Oryctolagus cuniculus: one gene and its partner. Each later gene encodes a partner of the first gene's protein in a complex. Links are inferred from orthologs where the notes say so. Each region holds a gene or a part of one and is shown on either strand. Other genes may lie near its edges. The genes, in order: COQ7 and COQ4.

Region 1 (3,284 bases):
AGCACAGCCTCCTCAGCAAAGATCCGTGCAGCCCCAGATGTCAGCGGCCCCGAGGGCGAGCAGCCCGGCCTCAGACCGGCTCCCTTTCCCGCGGTGGCCGCCCCATCCCTGACCGCTCTGGCTGTGGCTGTTTCAGGGGCCGGAACCGCCCTGCTGGGGAAGGAGGGCGCCATGGCCTGCACGGTGGCGGTGGAGGAATCCATAGCTCACCACTACAACAACCAGATCAGGACGCTGGTGGAGGAGGACCCTGCGAAATACGGGGAGCTGCTGCAGGTACTTGATGGTCCTCGGGAAGGGCGTGGGGGTCTGGGGCAGCGCCCCGGAGCACATGGAGGCACAGAGAAGGAAAGCTGTCTGCCCTGGTCACACAGCGAGCGTGGAGCCAGGACTCGAGCCACTGTCGCCTGCCCCGAGGCCTGCCTGTGTCCACCCCTGCACTCCATATCACTGGTACAATGCTGTGAGTGCGACGCCCTTACGTGAATGAATGGATAGCCACAGATGATTTTTCACAGCAAATAAGGGAACTGTTTACTTACTTATTTGAAAGAAACACGGGGACAGAGTGAGTTCCTGTCCCCTGGTTCCCTGCCAAATGCTCACAGTGACCACGGCTGGGCAGGGGCCAAAGCTGGGAGCCAGGAACTCCAGCCAGGTCTCCCGGGTGGGTGTCAGGAGCCCCGTTACTTGAGCCCTCACTGCTGCCTCCCAGGAGCTGCACTGGCAGGAAGCTGGAGGCAGGAGCAGGAGCCAAGCATGGGATTTATTTAAGATGGAATCCTGGGGCCGGCGCTGTGGCGCAGCGGGTTAACACCCTGGCCTGAAGCGCCGGCATCCCATATGGACGCCGGTTCGAGACCCAAGTGCTCCACTTCCGATCCAGCTCTCTGCTGTGGCCTGGGAAAGCAGTGGAAGATGGCCCAAGTCCTTGGGCCCCTGCACCCACATGAGAGACCAGGAAGAAGCTCCTGGCTTCTGGCTTCGGATTGGCGCAGCTCCAGCTGTTGCAGCTAATTGGGGAGTGAACCATCAGATAAAAGACCTCTCTTGTCTCTCCCTCTCTCTCTCTGCCTCTCCTTCTTTCTGTAACTCTGACTTTCAAATAAATAAATCTTTAAAAAAAAAAAAAAAAAGATGGAATCTTAACTGAGGTTCTAACTGCTGGCTAAATGCCCTGCTCTTTAGTCTTTTTTTTTTTTTTTTTTTTTTAAGATTTATTTATTTGAAGGAGTTACAGAGAGGGGAGAGAGACACAGATGAGCTTCTGTCTCCTGGTTTACTCCCCAGATAGCTGCCACGGCCAGGGCTGGACTAGGCTGAAGCCAGGAGTCAGGAGCTTCTTCTGGGTCTCCCACGTGGGTGCAGGGGCCCAAGCACTTGAGCCATCTTCTGCTGCTTTGCCCAGGCCTATTAGCAGAGAGCTGGATTGGAAGAGGAGCAGCTGGGACTTGAACCTGTGCTCATATGGATGCCATTGTCTCAGGCGGCAGCTTAACCTGCTACGCCACAGCACTGGGCCCTCTTTAGTCTTTTAACAGATCAGAGGTTGGCAAACTGGCCTGCATCGGACCACCTGTCTCTATAAATCAAGATTTAACAGCCACACCCACTTGTTTGCGTGTCTAGGCTGCCTCCCTCCCCACCACCAGGGCAGAACCGAGTGGTTGCAGTGGAGCCTGTGTGAGCAGCCCTTAGCAGGCAGCGTTTGCCTGCGGCTGTCTTGGGCTAACCTGGGGCCTCGGCCTCTCCGTGAGACCGATGAGCAGGTGAGTCGGGTGCGAGCTGCGCCGCCTGCCTTCTGTTTGACCAGGTGATACGGAAGTTCCGGGACGAAGAGCTTGAGCACCACGACCTCGGCCTTGAGCACGACGCAGAGCGGGTAGGGCCTGCCTTTCCTTGTGCTTGCAGGTTAAGGGCAAAGGTTTCTGGTCCCAGGAAAGTAAACCTTAACATGGCAGCCCGCGGGAAGAAAGGGGCCAGGTCGCTGTGACAGACAGGCAGCCCCACTGCTCCCGGGAGGGCCGTGTATCCTCTGGGCCCAGGGCACCTTTCTCCTCCGCTGTGAGACACCAGCTGATTCCAGGGTTTGGGCCGGAGCAGAGGCCTCTCTCCCTTTCCCTGGCACACAACTAGGCCCTGGCACAGCTGTATCTGCCCCCAAATTAAAGTGTTTCTCGAGTCTGTTACCCAGAGAACCCCAAGCCCTGCCCCACTAGCCCTGGGTCGTCCGAGTACAAGACAAGCACGTGATGCCTTTCTTTCATCTCTTGCTGTGCCGCAGGCCCCGGCGTACACCGTCCTGAAGAGCATCATCCAAGCCGGCTGCAGCGTGGCCATCTCTTTGTCAGAGAGACTCTGAGCTGTGTCCCCGTAGCCAGCTCGGGGAGGCGGGACAGCCATTTCGCCAGTGGCTTGGACGGAGAAGGAGCTGTACAGTCCTCATTGTTAATTCTGTTGTTTCTGTCCTGTTTTTGCATTAATAAAGAGTTCGGTGTTGCTTTTGCTCTCGCTGTGAGGCTGACAGTTCCCTGCGCTGTTCCAGTACAGCAGGTGAAGCTACTGGTTGTGTGCTCTCCCGATTTCTCCTCCAGCAGTCAAACTTGAGTTTACTGAAAATGAAAAGAAATTTAAAACTAGGAGGGGTTTAAGACTGACCAAGCACGAATAGGAAGTCCATCAGTACATGGTCACTGTATCAGATCACGTTTTGTTACTTTAACCAAAACACCCAAGAGGAGCTCATTGGGAGGGAAAGGCTTGTCCCCATCCAGTTTGCAGGCTGCAGTTCAGGGCTGGGCGGTCCCATCGTCCAGTGTCTGCGGGGAGCTCCTCACGGCAGGTGTGGAGGAACAGTGAGGCAGAACCAGAACTTCAGTGATCCACCCTTTCACAGGAGGACACACCCCCGGTGGCCTGAAGACCACCCCTGACCCACCTATCAGACGCCGTGATTAGACCAAGGCTCCACCCTAATCCACTGACCACTGACAGGAAGACAGCAGAGTGTCAGAGGCTTGCAGTTCTGGGGAGACAAGTCCTACGCAAGCCCTAAGGGTCACTGTTTGTCTTGAACCGTGGGTGGGAGGGTGCTGTGGTTTGGATGTGACCTCCCTACGTCATGTGAAAATCCTTGTCCCCCAAGGTGATGGGTGGGGATAGGGTCCTCAGGAGCAGGCTGGATGCCCAGGGGCAGGCACAGCACTTTAGGTTGCTGCCGGATGCTTGAGTGATGGAAATTCTGGAATTAGCGTGACTGTTGTGTACCTTGTGAATATGTTAAG
Region 2 (3,805 bases), on another chromosome or scaffold:
TATATTAAATAAACTTTAAAAAATATTTATTTATTTGAAAGGCAGTTAGAGAAAGAGGAGAGATCTTCCATCTGGTGGTTCACCCCCCAGATGGCCGCACCAGCCAGCACTGGGCCAGACTGAAGCCGGGAATCAGGAGCTTCATCCAGGTCCCCCATGTGGGTGGCAGGACCCAAACACTTGGGCCATCTGCTGCTGCTTTTCCCAGGCCACCAGCAGGGCGCTGGATCAGCAGTGGAGCAGCCGGGACACCAGCCAGTGCCCACACGGGATGCTGACATCACAGTCAGCAGCTTTGCCCACTGTGCCATAGAACGGGCCCCTGTTTTTATTTGAGAGACAGAGAGACACAGAGACTAGAAGAGAGCTCTTCCATCTGCTGATGTAGCCCCTAAATGCCTGTGGTAACCAGGGACTGGGCCAGGCCAAAGCCAGGAGCCAGGAACTCTGTGCAGGTCCTCCAGGTGGATGGCAGGGCCTGACTGCCTGGGCCCCCCGCCGCCTGCCAGAGTTAGCAGGAGGCCGGGACCTGAACCCAGGCATTGCGGTTTGGGATGTGGATGTCCAAGCAGTGTCATAACTCGTGCCAGCGGCTGTCTCAGGGTTAGTTGTAATAATACATGTTGTTGAATATATCTAAAATAATACCGTTTAAGTAAGTGGTATTTTTAAATTGCTGCGGTTTCATCTTCATGCTTCAGTCTGAAGTCTCCCGTGTACTGCGTGCACACAAAACTCCCCAGTTGGCATTTGTCCCAATTCGAGGCTCAGTGGCCACATTGGGCTGACGTCTGCCATCCTGGACAGCACAGGTGTAGGAGACATGAGTCACGCACACTAAACAGCAAGGTACAGAGGCTGCCAGAGCCCCCCCCCCCGCACCTGTCAGTCAAGGTCAAGGCTGCCAGAGCCCTCCCCCCACCTGTCAGTCAAGGTCAAGGCTGCCAGAGCCCCCCCCCCCCGCACCTGTCAGTCAAGGTACAGAGGCTGCCAGAGGGCCCCCCCCCCGCACCTGTCAGTCAAGGTACAGAGGCTGCCAGAGCCCCCACACCTGTCAGTCAAGGTCAGGGACATCCCCCCGGGTGGGGGAAACCTGACCAGGGCATGCGTGAGAAGTAGGGACTGTCAGGTGAAGACGGGGTCGTGGGAGAGAGCACTCCAGACAGCAGCCTGTACTGAGGATCAGGGGCCTACAGGCCTGTTCTTAGTTGTTTTTGTTTAAGCTGTTGACTTATTTACTTGAAAGGCAGAGTAACAGAGGAGAGCTTCTACCCACCAGTTTACTCCCTAGAGGCCTACAACACCCAGGGCTGAGTCTGTCCTGGGCAGGAACCAGGGACTCCAGCCAGGTCTCCCACATGGGTGGCAGGAGCCCAAGGACTCGGGCCATCAGCCGTGGCTCCCCAGGTGGGTTAGCAGGGAGCTGGATTGGAAGCAGAGCAGCCAGGACCCAAAGCACTGCTCTGATGGGGGATGTGGGTGTCACGAGTGGTGGCTTGCCCCGCTGCAACAGGCCTGCCCAGATCGATTGCCTGAAGCTGAGTCGTGTTAGGTGCGCTCAGGCTGTGCTGCCGTGGGCCTCCAGGCTGTCGTCATTTGGCAAACACAAACTCTGTACCCATTAAACAGCTGCCCGTTCCTGGGGCCCTTTGCTAGGGCTTCCAACAGGATGCAAAGCTGATGTGTGATTTGGAGTAAGCAGAGGGGTGCCGTCTCCCCGCCTGCCCTGCCCAAGCCTCCCCTGCTGGCAGGGGTGCACAGAAGCTGCAAGCTTTCTGGGGGGAGCTGCGTTGGGTGGGAGGAGTTCGAGGGGAGGCTGGAGAGGTGGGCCCTGGGCAGAGTGGGAGGAGGTCTAGGGGAGGCTCCCGGCTGTCAGAGGGTCTCCCCAGACACCCGAGCGCCCACCCGCTTCGTGGACGACGAGGAGCTGGCGTACGTGATCCAGCGGTACCGGGAGGTGCACGACATGCTCCACACCCTGCTGGGGATGCCCACCAACATTCTGGGTGAGTGAGTGGCAGCCAGCCGGCCGCGTGGCGGGGTCGGGGGCGGGGCTCCCCAGCGCCTCCGGCTCCAGCCCCGCCCACCACCGGCTGGCTCAGTGTCTTGCTTCCTGCTCTGCCCAAACATCTCCGTGGCATCTCTACCGCTCAGCCCTCTCCTCCATCCCGTCTGCCCCTTCTGGCTTCTGCACCGATGTCACAGTGTCCACACAGAGCTCCCCGCTCTGAACCCCCTGCAGCTCCCCGGCTGGGCCTCTCAGTCCTCGCATTCTGACCTTTCCAAGTGCTAGCCTTTGACCCCCTGCCCCAGGCCGAGCCCCAGGGCCCTGCACAGGCCAGGACTGGGCACAGCTGATCCCTGGTAGAGACTGGAGAGGAGCAGACGCCTCTCCAGGCCCTACCAGCGGCACCTCTGGCCTCTCCTAGCCCTGCTCACCTCCCACCCTGTCCCTCACCCCCAGGGGAGATCGTGGTGAAGTGGTTTGAGGCTGTGCAGACCGGCTTGCCCATGTGCATCCTGGGTGCACTCTTTGGCCCGATCCGGCTCAGCGCTCCGTACGTGTTCAAGGGGGCGGGACGTGGAGACTTGGGAATGGGGAGGGCGCGGCCCCTGAGCAGCCCTGGTGGTTTTCCAGGAAGCAGTGGTGGAAAGGACGAGGCAGGGATGAGGGCGGCCTGGTGTCTCCAGGGCAGTGGACGGAGCCTGGAGCCCAGGCTGGGTCAGAATGACTGGTGTCAGGGGAAAGCAAGTTCGGGTTCCGGAGTTGTGTAGCCCTCAGTTGAAGTCTGGGCCTCGGCACGTCTGGGAGGTGTGGCTTTGGGCATAAGATCGACCTCGCCGAGTTTCTGTTCCCGCACCTGAGAGGTGGGCATCGATGGCTGCCTCCTCTCGGGCAGGAAGCGCACTGAGCGGTGGGGTGCCCAGAGCTGCCGGCCTCGGGCCTCATGCTGTCTCCTCTGCTGTCCGCAGGCGCCTGCGCGTGCTGGTCTCGGAGCTGATCCCCTGGGCGGTGCAGAACGGGCGCAGGGCCCCGTGTGTCCTCAACCTGTACTACGAGCGGCGCTGGGAGCAGCCCCTGAGCGCTCTGCGGGCGGAGCTGGGCATCACGGCCCCCCCCAGGGACGTCCAGCGCCTGGCCCAGGCCTGAGCTGCTGAGCAGCAGGGTCTGGCCTGCCCCCCCCCCCACCTCTGTTCCTTCGTGGTGAACGCTGACCCTTGGACATCATTCATCTTAGTTGTCATTATCTCCACTGAGTGGCCTTGAGGGCCAGTCCAGGAGGAAGCGGGCAGCACAGTGGGGCTCCCGGGGGGCTGGGAGTGAGTGAGGAACAGACGTGTCTCAGGCCTGCTCCTGCCCCTCCCCGCCAGCCCTGCTGTCCTGCGTGTCCTGGCTGTACCCAGTTCCAGAGGCCTGGGAAGACAGAGGTGGGGGTGGGGGCGAGTCTGCCGTCCCAATAAAGGCTCCCCCCACAGTGCAAACGTCTGCCGGCCCTGCCTCCACCTAGTGCTGGCCGCAGCCCCCCAGCGCTGCAGGTGGAAACCCTGTCCCAACCTGAGCTTCCCCTGCTCGTCCCCGCTCCTGTGGTCTGAGGTCCGGCTGAGTGGGGTTCACATTCCCAGCTGCTCCTCCGGGTTCTAGCGGAAGAGAAAGCAAGTTCTTTGTGCTTTCTGAACGCCCGCTCCTTCACCATGAAAGGGGTCACAAACAGCACCCCCGGAGCTGCCCTGGGCCTTCCTGGGAGGCACAGAGAAGCACTCGAGGAGCCAGGGCTGTTTGCCAGTTAGTTGTTGGTTTTCACGG

Evidence for each region.
Region 2: COQ7 (region 1) and COQ4 share a complex: the UniProt entries of both Homo sapiens proteins name them as parts of the multi-subunit COQ enzyme complex. The link is inferred for Oryctolagus cuniculus from reciprocal best matches to the Homo sapiens genes COQ7 and COQ4.

The regions. Positions count from the first base shown.
Region 1 is NC_091450.1:21,341,732-21,345,015, reverse strand, and holds the end of COQ7 (5-demethoxyubiquinone hydroxylase, mitochondrial), read left to right. Parts: intron 1-136; coding exon 137-276; exon of another isoform or gene 277-866; intron 867-1,368; exon of another isoform or gene 1,369-1,813; coding exon 1,814-1,882; intron 1,883-2,284; coding exon 2,285-2,362; 3' UTR 2,363-2,507; downstream 2,508-3,284. UniProt on the Homo sapiens protein: Catalyzes the hydroxylation of the 5-methoxy-2-methyl-3-(all-trans-polyprenyl)benzoquinone at the C6 position and participates in the biosynthesis of ubiquinone.
Region 2 is NC_091432.1:231,640,874-231,644,678, forward strand, and holds the end of COQ4 (ubiquinone biosynthesis protein COQ4 homolog, mitochondrial), read left to right. Parts: intron 1-1,876; coding exon 1,877-2,006; intron 2,007-2,464; coding exon 2,465-2,558; intron 2,559-2,973; coding exon 2,974-3,151; 3' UTR 3,152-3,483; downstream 3,484-3,805. UniProt on the Homo sapiens protein: Lyase that catalyzes the C1-decarboxylation of 4-hydroxy-3-methoxy-5-(all-trans-decaprenyl)benzoic acid into 2-methoxy-6-(all-trans-decaprenyl)phenol during ubiquinone biosynthesis.